3 linked regions of the Saccharomyces cerevisiae S288C genome follow. The protein of the gene in region 2 purifies or fractionates together with the protein of the main gene of each other region. This does not show direct contact. Each region holds a gene or a part of one and is shown on either strand. Other genes may lie near its edges.

Region 1 (4,378 bases), on a different chromosome or scaffold from region 2:
AAAATGATAGTTTGCAGGAATTTATCAGTCAATTGATGGGAGACATCGCTATTGTTGCCTTATACGATACACTGCAAAAACGATAACAATTTCTTATTTGTCAACCTCGTGGGAGACTCGATAGGTTGCATGATGATGTGTCACAAAAAAGTAGAAGTGTCATCTTGACGCTATCCCACCCCTTCTTTTTCCACATGCTTAATTATTTGTATACATCCAGTGACATACAAAAAAATAGTAGAACATGGAGGGGTCGGCTTGTTGGATAATTTAAATCGGTTTATTATTATTATACAGATTAAATAAAATTTTTTTAAAAAAAAGATACAGAAAAAGTGAGAAAGAAAGAAAAAGAAACCACTAATAGTGAGAGAGATAATCAAATGTAAATGGTAATCCTACCAGCCCAAAAAGATTAGAATGTCGTGTACGTACATCCACATTTTATATTCATATTTTTTTTAAAGTACATGCAAAAGAAAGAATAAGAAGTAGAGAAATCAACGGAAATCTGTCTTACCGACACCACGCTTACCACTGAATAAATGCTTTGATAAGGAAACAGCATTGTGTCTATCAGATTCACCTTGCTTGGCATGTCTATTTCTTTCTCTTCTTTCCATCTTGGCCATCCTGTCGGCCTTGGATCTCATGGAGCCATCAGCAACACCATCCAACAGTCTATCGGTTTGTCTCAACTTGACACCGTTTTCAGTGGAAGCTGTCAAAGCATCTTGGTCGCCAAAAACAACATCAGAACCTCTTTCAACATAACGGTTCTTACGAGCAGCACGGTTCTGTTTATCTTGTAAGGCTGACATGTCATGGCCCAAAGTGGACATGTGTTCTTCCATTTTACCAAAGGACTTAGTTAGTTTAGAACGTGGCATGATAGCTTTGTTCTTCAAGGACTTCCTATTTCTTGCTTCAGCAATCATCGTCTTTTGTCTATTTCTAATCCATGCAGCTTTCTCCTTGATATCATCTACTTCGGATGCTTCGAAACCGTCGTAGATTTCTTCCTCATCGTCAGAATTGTAGAACCCTTCGTTCTCCAATTTTTCTTCTTCTTCTTCAAGAGCCTGCAGTTTAGCAGCGATTTCAGGGTCCAAGAAATCATAAACATTCTTACCATCCAAGATTTCTGGCATGATGTCATTCTTCCACTCATCATCTTCTAATAGGTACTTGTCCTTCAAGTTAACATTGAAGACACCAGCACCACCATTTTCAGCTTCGATGTCTCTGGCCAACTTTCTCCTGTTTGGATCTTCAGGGTCGTATTTCTTCAAATTCTTGACAGATTCTGGGATAAATGGTGTTCTCTTGACATCATCTCTTGCTTGAGGTTGAGCAACATGAATCTTGTTCAGAACATTGTTGATTCTAGACTGAGATTTCAACTTATTCTCAATTCTAGAAGCCAATAGTTTTTCACATGCTTTGTTTCTAACTTCCATAACGTTTTCTTCCAGTTGGCATGAAGAAGTCATGATTTCAACACCTGGAACCTCCTTAACAGATTCCAGTAATTGTGCACGCTCTTCGTCTAAATCCTCCGGTCTGATAATGTCGGTTTTGTTGATAACAACCATGACAGACTTGTTGGCGAATAGAGGCTTGATGGAGTGGAATAGTTTAACTTGAGCTTCGATGGTGAAACCACATTGTTCGGAAAGATCCATGAAGTACAAAACACAAGAACGTAAATGGGCAATGGCATAAATCGATTGCATTTCAATGTTGTTCATTTCTTCAGTGGGTCTATCTAGGATACCAGGGGTGTCAATAGCTTGAAATCTCAAGTATTTGTAGTCAAAATGACCAACGTATAAACTCTTGGTTGTGAAAGCATATGGTTGAACATCGACGTCTGATTTGGTAATGCATCTCAAAAACGAGGACTTACCGACATTTGGATAACCACAGATCAGCAAGGTTCTGGTATTTGGGTCGATCGATGGTAATCTACCAATGTGCTGTCTGACTTGTTCCAAATAGGCCAATGGGTCCCTCAATTTCTTGACTATAGTTGCCATTCTACCTAAAGCGGCCCTTTTCAATTGTTTACATTGAAATAAAGATTGACCGAATTTTAGCAATCTGACATAATCTCTGGCGACTTGTTCCACAAGGGACTTCGCACGAGATATAGCTGCCAAAGATATCTTGTAATGATTCTTTTCGTATAGGGTGTCCATCAAATCTCTATGGAAAGGATGCACGTCATTGATGTTAGGAAAACCCTTTAAAATGTCCTCAAATTTTTCCACGAAACCTTCACCTGTGTATTTAACTTTACGCATATAGAACGCTCTGATTCTTGTAATCTTGAAACCAGGTCTGATCACAGTTGGTGTCTTTCTCTGGGTTCTGTTCAAGACAATATCCAGCAAATCATTTGCTGGAGCGACAGTAGGGATATCCTTCCATGAAAGTTGCATCTTCGGTATAGGAGGGAGATGTGTTTGCTTTTGGAGGGTACACTTACTTTTTTATAAACGCTGCAACTCCTAAATCTGAAGTGTATTCTTTATATTGTATTAGATGAGGTAGTACATAGGTGAAAATTTTTCTTTGCGATGAGCTGCGGAAAAAACTTTTCGTTCAGTTGAAAAAAAAAAAGAAAGTGAAGATCGTGTGCGACGGAATAGACGTGTCGTTTTCCCAATACTGGCATACAAATCAAGAGGGAGAAGAGTGGGCTTTTATAATTGCAGTTGAATGCAGTATGGTAGCCGAGCAAACACAGGAGAACATGTCAGCCGTAGGTCCAGGTAGCAATGCAGGTGCTAGTGTCAATGGCGGATCTGCTACAGCCATTGCTACTCTTTTACGCAACCATAAGGAGTTGAAGCAAAGGCAGGGTTTATTCCAGGCCAAGCAGACAGACTTCTTCCGTTACAAGAGATTTGTTAGGGCACTGCATTCTGAGGAGTATGCCAACAAATCTGCAAGACAGCCAGAGATATATCCAACTATACCTTCTAACAAGATCGAAGACCAGCTTAAGTCACGTGAAATCTTTATTCAACTTATAAAGGCACAAATGGTGATCCCAGTGAAAAAATTGCATAGTCAAGAATGCAAAGAGCATGGATTGAAGCCAAGCAAGGACTTTCCGCACTTGATTGTTTCGAATAAAGCACAATTGGAAGCCGATGAATACTTTGTTTGGAACTATAACCCTAGAACCTACATGGATTACTTGATCGTCATTGGTGTCGTGTCCATCATATTGGCGCTCGTATGCTACCCATTGTGGCCGCGCTCCATGAGACGCGGCTCCTATTATGTGTCTCTGGGTGCCTTCGGCATCTTAGCAGGCTTCTTTGCTGTCGCTATCCTGAGATTGATATTATATGTTTTGTCATTAATTGTCTACAAAGATGTTGGTGGGTTCTGGATCTTTCCCAACCTGTTCGAAGATTGCGGTGTACTAGAGAGTTTTAAGCCACTTTACGGTTTTGGTGAGAAGGATACTTATAGTTACAAAAAGAAACTGAAAAGAATGAAGAAGAAACAAGCCAAGAGAGAAAGCAATAAGAAGAAAGCCATCAATGAAAAAGCCGAACAAAACTGAACTTCCATTATCCTGTATAGCTCTACTGTATAAACCTTCTATATTGTAACCTCATGAACTCGCACATGTACAAACCTTCAAGAGAACCGGCACCAAAGCGCTACCATCTGGTTGCTTCATCGCTTATAGTGAGTAGTTTTAGATTTGAAGGTTATCGCTCCTGGCAAAAATCTGAATCCACACACCGCATAATTAGCGGTTATTATTACTCAATTTCCGGCCGGCTTTAATATACTTTCACCGAAAGGTCTCTATATAGAAGCTATTTGCTGACACTTGCTTACAGGAATCGATTATATAAGAAGGGTTCTGCATCTGGTTGCCTACTTAGTTTTCGGTATTTTTGAAGATTAGCAAAAAGATCAAGATATCAAGTATTTTCATATTTGTCATTTTAATGTTTCGCTCGGGTTACTATCCAACTGTCACTCCTAGCCATTGGGGCTATAACGGCACCGTCAAACATGTACTGGGAGAGAAAGGAACCAAGTCTTTGGCTTTCAGAGATTCTAAGCGCCAAATTCCTCTTCATGAATTCGTAACCAAACACGTGCCTACACTCAAAGATGGTGCAAATTTTAGGTTAAACAGCTTGCTTTTCACAGGTTACTTACAGACCCTTTATTTGTCAGCCGGTGATTTTTCCAAAAAATTTCAGGTATTTTATGGAAGAGAGATTATAAAATTTTCTGATGGAGGGGTCTGCACTGCAGATTGGGTTATGCCTGAATGGGAGCAAACATATTCATTAAATGCTGAAAAGGCTAGTTTTAACGAGAAACAATTTTCGAACGA
Region 2 (5,256 bases):
GCGATCATGGGAGTGCCACCAGAAACGGATTTCCAGGCTCCTTCGTGATTGAAAGTGAGTTCAAAAAGACTAACAAGTATATTCACAGCACCATGGATACTTTGGACAGATTAAGTCTCGCTCATATGGCGGAACACACAAAAATTGTATTAGGGGTAATCATTGAACTCGGGTCATGGTCCGCTTGGTAAAAGTCAGTAATATGCATACATAACTAATGATGCCTTACCTTGGTGTTCTTTTGTAATATACCTAAACCGATATCACGCTAGTATTTATTTCCCGAATTTTTTTGGCGTATTTCGTCATCTGAAAATAACATAATCAATGAAAGAAATAGAGTCAGTTGCAAAAAGTGCAAGCCAGCGCTAACCGCTCCCGATTTAGTCGCAATATTGATGGCAAACAGTACCAAAAACTGGTTACCCATATAAATTGTTTGGCATTGTTATTATTGTTATAAATTATTATTGTTATTATTATAAATTATTATTAGTATTATACAAAGTTTTCAATTCTGCAACAAGTTGGGCCGCAAAATATGGAGAAAAGCGAAAGTAATTCTGAAGGACTTTATCTCCAAAATATATTAAATGTTCCCCCTCCGCAGCGATTTATTGTGCTCATAATACTTGCCCTTTGGATCTGGACATGGATATTAAAATTCTTCTTGCATAGTAATTTAGACGTATCCCAAGTCATACTCACGAGAGTACCGCACGATATACGTCCAGGTTATACTCTACAGCAATTGCATAGAACAGCTAGAAATTTTGCTTTGAAGATAACAAGGATTATTATACCGTTCCACTTTGCCACTGTGTTCCTTTTTGAGTTCATGAATATTATAGAAGGTCCACTCAAAAATATCATTCTCATCGTATATTTTCTACCATTGATCCAATGTGTCACTATATTTTGGTTTCTGTTGAAAGAGTGCCAGATAATAAAATATTGTACTAGGAGATGTTTGTTGATAGAATCCTCCCCCCGTTCCTTAAGGAATACCTACATTTTAATCTCTGACACGTTGACATCGTTTGCAAAACCATTGATAGACTTCACATTGTTTACCTCTCTAATTTTTAGAGAACCCTTCACACATTTTGATCTATCCGTAGCCCTTCTTCCTGTACTGGTAAGACTACTGCAGTGTTTGAGAGAATACCGTTTACTGCACGAAGCAACTTTACTATTCAATGCATTGAAATACAGTTGTAATCTTCCCATTCTTTTTTGCACCTGGAGATCAAGAGTGTATGAGGGATCCATCAACGAAGAAAGACTACACCACGTTCAAAGATGGTTTATGCTAATTAATTCTTCCTATACGTTATTTTGGGATGTAAGGATGGATTGGTCATTGGACTCGTTAACCTCTTTAAGATCCAGATCCAAAAGTGCCGTCACATTAAAGAAAAAAATGTATCATTCGGCGATTCTCGTTGACTTTTTGCTGAGGTTCTGGTGGCTATGGGTATATTTATCGCAGAATCTGAAATTAGTTGCCGCAGATAGCGACTACATTTTTTTCCAAGGCGAAATGCAGTATTTCGAAGTAATTAGAAGAGGCATATGGGTCGTTTTCAAATTGGACGCAGAGTATTATATTAAGTTTGCAAGCAAATAATTTGTTGGGCAAGCCATATAAAATCATGCAAATGCTGTAAATATTTGTTCTATTTTCCCCGTAGAATGGTTTATTCGATATATTACATATAATAAACGAAAAATACATATGCACAGTATATACTTTTCCAAAAAAAAATCAAACACTGTTTGAGCGTCAAGAAACCCCAGGCGGTGCCCGACGATAATGCGACTGCATTATCTCCTACGCTTGTTGTCGTTTGCCTTTCTTTGGTTTATTCTTCGTTCATTTTTGGTCAAATATCTGAACTTTTTTACTCTTGGCTTCTTCTTTTGTTTCTCATCCACGCCCAGAAACTTCGCGTATTTGGTGGCTCTATTTATGCTTTGTTTGAGTACTTTTTCTGCCTTTTCTAATTTGACATTATTTAGCTGGGCTAAATATTCAAAGTTATCATTGGGTTCCAATGTCTCCAATTCAACAGTAGTTGAGTCATCGTATATTTCCGTGATTGCTCCTTTCTTCAAAATAGGCTTTACGCTACTTTCATTATTGTCGTTATCGCCGTCATCTTTATCAGAATCAAACCCGTGCCAGGATTCATCAGATTCTACCTGCAAATCCTCCGTCTTATCATTTTTCGCATCCTCTATCTCAGCTTCCAAGTTTAAACTCTCTTTAAACGTCTTTAACTGTTCTTCCATCACCTCCTTACGTTCCTGCCGAATCTTCTGTCTTTCTTCAATTTTTCTAAGCCTTTCCTGCTCCTTAATAAACTCTTGTGCTTTCTTTTGTCTTTGAAGCTTTCTCTTGTGAAAGCCAGTCAGATAATCCAAACGAGAATCCTTGTCGAACGTCACCTCATCGGTACCGAATTTCTTTGATTGCTTTGTAGCATAGTTTTTGCCTCTTGTAAGGATTTGCCTATTGGTGTGAACAGCCATAGCAAAAATCGAAAACCTTTAATTCACCCCTCTTGATTCGAGCAGCTACCAGGAACTTGAATATTGCAACTCTCTATTTTTTATCTGCTATTATCTGCTGCTTTGCAGAATCGATCCTCATCACATTTGAAAAATTTCAAATGTGAAAAGTCCCTACTTACCCGTTCGCGGCTCATGAAATCGTGTCCTCTTCAATATAAGACAAGAGTATCAAACAAAGGATATAAGGCAAAATACAACAAATTACCAGTGAATTCCGCATTTCCAAGTCAAATCAAAAACTATTTTCGAGGAAATAATGGCAGGCCCAAGGAATGTGCGTACATTACATGGAAATGGAGGCCGTAATAATGATGTGATGGGCCCAAAAGAATTCTGGTTAAATATCCCCCCAATAACAAGAACTTTATTTACTCTAGCGATCGTTATGACGATCGTCGGCCGGTTGAATCTAATCAATCCGTGGTACTTTATTTATGTTTGGAATTTGACGTTCAAGAAGGTTCAGATATGGAGACTTCTTACTTCTTGTGTAATGCTTTCGTCTCGTGCCATGCCTGCGCTAATGGAACTATATAGTATTTATGACAGGTCCTCACAGTTGGAGCGAGGGCATTTTGGTCCCGGTTTGTCCAATAGACGAGGACCGATGGTAACAGTAGACTATGCCTACTACCTGTGCTTTTGTATACTAGCCATCACTACGGCCACTACAATCATTTATGGGTCCTACTACCCTGTTGTGCTCACCTCTGGGTTCATATCATGCATTACATATACTTGGTCGATCGACAATGCCAACGTGCAGATCATGTTTTATGGTTTGATTCCTGTTTGGGGGAAGTACTTCCCCTTAATTCAATTGTTTATCTCTTTCGTTTTTAATGAGGGTGATTTCGTAATCTCATTGATCGGTTTTACTACAGGGTACCTTTATACATGCTTAGATACCCATACACTGGGGCCAATATGGGGGATGATATCCAGAAAAGCTGATCCAACCTACGGAATCTCGCCCAATGGGAAATTCTCAACGCCATGGTGGTTTACTAGTCTATATGCTCGCATAACGGGTGCCCACAATGAAACTGCAACATTCAACAACAACTTTGCCAATGTGCCATCTTCGCAAAGAGAAACGAGAACTTTTAGTGGAAGAGGTCAACGATTGGGTACGGCCCCTGCAACATTGTCTCAAACCAGTGGCACAGATTCAGGCAGAGCTTCTGGAAGTCAATTAAGAAGTGGCCCATCGAATTTGAACCAATTTCAAGGCCGCGGCCAACGAGTAGGACAAACAAACAGCCCCTCCGACTCACAATAACAACTTTTATCTATTTCTATGTACTTTGCCATTCATTATATACATCAAGAGAGTCTGACATAGTATTTTCGTTGGCATAGCAACCGATTGATAATGAAACATCACTCAAGACGAATTGACAAATGGGCCACTATGGTAAAACAATTCTTTACATGATACCACCAGTATATAGAAAGGTTCTCGTGTTGATGAATTATATAAGAAAGTGAAAATCGATTTCAAGATAATTACTCTTTTTACCTCCTCTTTCATTGTGGTCACCGTTTTTGAACACAACATGCACCAAGATTTTCAAGAAGACGAGCATGAGTATCCAGACATCAGACGCAATCCGCTGCATGAGGTGACCATGACTTCCTACATACTGGGGATTCTTTTAGGTATATTTGTTGGTCTTTTTCCACAAATTAGATTCAAGAATTTTAACCTCTTTATTATTGCCCTGTCCTTATTCCATTTTTTGGAGTATTATATTACAGCTAAATACAATCCTCTTAAGGTACATTCAGAGTCCTTTCTTCTGAACAACGGCAAAAGTTACATGGCGGCACATTCCTTTGCTATTCTGGAATGCCTCGTAGAAAGCTTTCTTTTTCCTGATCTGAAAATTTTTAGCTACTCTCTAGCTACCAAGCTTTGTACAGTACTTGGATGTCTTCTAGTTATTCTGGGACAATATACCAGAACTATTGCTATGCATACTGCGGGACATTCCTTTTCTCATATTGTGAAGACCAAGAAGGAGTCCGATCATGTTTTAGTGAAAACTGGCGTTTACTCCTGGTCAAGACATCCAAGTTATCTTGGGTTCTTTTGGTGGGCAATTGGCACTCAGCTACTGCTTCTAAATCCCCTATCATTGGTTATTTTCATTTTTGTACTTTGGAAATTTTTCAGTGATAGAATTCGTGTGGAAGAAAAATATTTGATAGAGTTCTTTAGCGCGGAATACATAGAATACAAGAATAAGGTTGGTGTCGGAATACCTTTTATATAATAGTAATGATTGTGTTAGTTATGGACTGGATTTTTGTGTTATGTAAGATTTTATCTAATCTTGTGCATCTGTATTTGGTAGGTAATAAATGCTAGGGGAATGCAAACAGTGATATTGCCTTTGAGTATTGAAAAGAAGAAAATATTTCTTTTTCGAACGGAAAATTATAGAAAATGAAGGTCATATGCACAATTACAAAGAAAATATTTCATGAAAGAGCTGGACGGAACCGTCCAATTTTAGCCTCGTTTTTAACCACTGTTGTATTTCTTTCCATAATCTTGCGTTTTCCATGTACCCATTATGGGTGAAGTTGAGGATGTATTAGAAAGTTGTCTTTTTTGGGGCAGTACATTAGAGTAAGGCCTCCTTGGAATGAATGGATTTACAATGAGTCTGG
Region 3 (3,084 bases), on a different chromosome or scaffold from region 2:
TCCCAAACCACGATATATGCCTTTGTATCCTCCATTAGCAAAGAATCCACCCTTAGCTTGAAGCCTGGTTTTAATTGTGTCTATAGGGAAAAAAACCAAATCCGTAGAGGTACCAGCAGCGGCGCCACTTAGCAAGGAAAGAAAAAAAGTATTCATAGCAAACTTTTCAAAGCGAATTTTAGTTCATCGGTGTGTCTAAACATATAAAATCGCCAAACAATTTACAACAAGTGGAGCTTTAATGATCTCATATATTCTCGAGGGTGCACCCCACTGCAAATGTATTTATATACAAAACAGCGCTCAGTAAGCGAGGAAAAAAAGAGGCGCCCGTGCTTTTGCCGATACATAAACTAAAAACCAATAAACTTGCCAAAATACGTATATTCTTCAATCCATGAGGCACCACTAATTATATGCAAAAGCTCAATATCTGCTCCTTCAATGGCATTAGATAACTAACAACCTATGTACTATACAATTTTAAAATACTCTCTTAATTAATTCAACTTGGCTAATAAAGAGTCAATGTCAACTTCGATAACTGGTGCTGTAGCTGCATTTGAAAATTGACGAGTTCTTGATTCAGCCTCCCGCTGTTTTATTTTCCTTAGCCTATTCAAAGAACCAAATCCAGATACTTCTCTATTCAACTTGAATGGTTGTAAGAAGAAGTTACAAACAGAAAAAGACTCACCCATAGTGGCAATCTCATGAATAATATCTTCAACACAAATTATTCCATGATCTCCTAATTGCTCCTCGACAATATTGTTGTCATTAAGAACTATTTCGTGAGGTTCAGCCTCATTCTCACCCTTATAGATTATTCTACCTCTCTTTTGAATCAAGGAACGGATAGAAGATAAAGAAGGCTTGCCAATCACTACGTATGGCGCAATAACCTTGAGCAACGGATATACGTTTTTGGTCAATTTGACGAAAACACCAGTATTAGTTTCAACTAATCTTAGCAAAGACAAAATCTTAAATGCTTTGTTTGGAATATTTACAGCAAGCGGACCTCTTACTCTGACAATGAAAAGTAAAGCAGGTTTGCCATCGTAAGTAGTCTTTTCTCTGATTAAACCATCGTCTTCTTCTTCTTCAGTCTCCTCCAAGTCGACAGAGTTCTCTTCGGCGCCATTAGCTTTTTCTGTTATTTTCAGAATAAAATCTTTCCCAGATGCAATATGCTGCGTTTCATTCTTTGCCTTCTTATCTTCTAATATAGACACTCTTTTAATTCTTTCCTTTTCCCTAGAGGTAGCCAAAGTCTTTGCAACTATACTTTCAGCTCTGACAAATTTGTTCTTATTACTTCTCTTTTTTTTGATTTGTTCTTCCCTCTTTTTCTTAGCTAATTCTTGTCTTTCGATTCTAGTTCTATCAGCATTTCTTCTTTTCCTCAAAAGAATTTCTGGATTAGAATTAAGAGTTTGCGCTTTACTGTCTTGAGTTGAAGACATTGTGACTTGTATATCTTATTCTTTTTCCCTGTGGCAGCCTCTTCTTTCTAGGAACTTAATAACGAAAGTACCAAACAACTTAGACTTTTCTCATCTCATCGCTTCCCAGCTTTTTTTAAGCAGAGCTGAAAAAAATTTTCTTTTTACCAAAAATCCGTACTGCGTGATGAAAGTGTACATACATTATTCAATATTCACCTAGTTTTGTATATTAATGTAAAATGTAATTTAATGAAGATCCCAAAAAATTAAGCATTCGTTGCTGCATCGTTGTCATTTTGTTCAATTATCGCATTCCTATCATAGCAAAAATATGAAGGTTATTAGTCTGAAAAAGGATTCTTTTAACAAAGGAGGAGCAGTGATTACTCTTTTACCGGAGGACAAGGAAGATCTGTTTACTGTTTATCAAATAGTAGACAAAGATGACGAGTTGATATTCAAGAAAAAATTCACCTCTAAACTTGATGAAGCTGGTAAGAAAAAAAGTACAGATTTGGTCAAGTTGAAGATTAAAGTAATATCCGAGGATTTTGATATGAAGGATGAATATTTGAAATATAAAGGTGTTACTGTTACAGATGAAAGTGGAGCTAGTAATGTTGACATACCTGTCGGCAAATATTTGAGCTTTACCCTTGACTACGTGTATCCCTTTACTATCATAAAACAAAACTTTAATAAATTCATGCAAAAGCTCTTAAATGAAGCCTGTAATATCGAGTATAAATCAGACACCGCGGCGGTCGTTTTACAGGAAGGGATCGCCCATGTTTGTTTAGTGACATCCTCCTCTACTATTTTAAAACAAAAAATTGAATATAGTATGCCAAAAAAGAAAAGGACTACTGATGTACTGAAGTTTGATGAAAAAACTGAGAAATTTTATAAAGCAATTTACAGTGCAATGAAGAAAGATTTGAATTTTGATAAATTAAAGACTATTATTCTTTGCTCTCCAGGTTTCTACGCTAAGATATTAATGGACAAAATTTTCCAGTATGCCGAAGAGGAACACAATAAGAAAATACTCGATAACAAAGGAATGTTCTTTATAGCCCACTGCTCCACGGGCTACTTACAGGGCATTAATGAAGTTTTGAAAAATCCACTATATGCTTCAAAGCTGCAAGATACTAAATACTCCAAAGAAATCATGGTGATGGATGAATTTTTGTTGCATTTAAACAAGGATGATGATAAAGCTTGGTATGGTGAAAAAGAGGTAGTTAAAGCGGCTGAGTATGGCGCAATTAGTTATTTACTGTTAACAGATAAAGTTTTGCATTCAGACAATATTGCACAAAGAGAGGAATATTTGAAACTGATGGACTCCGTAGAGAGCAATGGAGGAAAAGCATTGGTATTAAGTACTTTGCATTCTCTTGGAGAAGAACTTGATCAATTGACGGGTATAGCCTGTATTCTAAAATACCCGCTCCCCGATCTTGATGAAGACGATGGTGAGGAGTAGATTTACTATGTAAGAAAAAAGTAATGTACACATAAAATTTGCAACCCTATAATAAATCGGATTATTCTCTTTACTTCTTCCCTATAAGCAAGTAGATGTGAAGCCGCAATTAATTGAGTTGTTGTGAAATGGTTCTAGTTA

Evidence for each region.
Region 1: the proteins of RRP17 (region 2) and NOG1 purify together in Saccharomyces cerevisiae (affinity purification with mass spectrometry; 4 studies listed by BioGRID). This does not show direct contact.
Region 3: the proteins of RRP17 (region 2) and RLP7 purify together in Saccharomyces cerevisiae (affinity purification with mass spectrometry; 4 studies listed by BioGRID). This does not show direct contact.

What each region holds. Positions count from the first base shown.
Region 1 is NC_001148.4:369,044-373,421, reverse strand, and holds NOG1 (putative GTPase NOG1), read right to left. Parts: upstream 2,445-4,378; coding exon 501-2,444; downstream 1-500. Other genes in the region: Sec63 complex subunit SEC62, read left to right, coding at 2,759-3,583; EEB1 (medium-chain fatty acid ethyl ester synthase/esterase), read left to right, coding at 3,981-4,378. UniProt on the Saccharomyces cerevisiae protein: Involved in the biogenesis of the 60S ribosomal subunit.
Region 2 is NC_001136.10:1,291,972-1,297,227, reverse strand, and holds RRP17 (rRNA-processing protein RRP17), read right to left. Parts: upstream 2,536-5,256; coding exon 1,828-2,535; downstream 1-1,827. Other genes in the region: YDR415C (putative aminopeptidase), read left to right, coding at 1-191; ERD1 (Erd1p), read left to right, coding at 542-1,630; DFM1 (Dfm1p), read left to right, coding at 2,834-3,859; STE14 (protein-S-isoprenylcysteine carboxyl O-methyltransferase), read left to right, coding at 4,137-4,856; SUMO ligase SIZ1, read right to left, coding at 5,108-5,256. UniProt on the Saccharomyces cerevisiae protein: Essential protein involved in ribosomal RNA processing.
Region 3 is NC_001146.8:625,674-628,757, forward strand, and holds RLP7 (Rlp7p), read right to left. Parts: upstream 1,470-3,084; coding exon 501-1,469; downstream 1-500. Other genes in the region: PET8 (Pet8p), read right to left, coding at 1-156; ribosome dissociation factor DOM34, read left to right, coding at 1,783-2,943. UniProt on the Saccharomyces cerevisiae protein: Involved in the biogenesis of the 60S ribosomal subunit. May act as a specificity factor that binds precursor rRNAs and tethers the enzymes that carry out the early 5' to 3' exonucleolytic reactions that generate the mature rRNAs.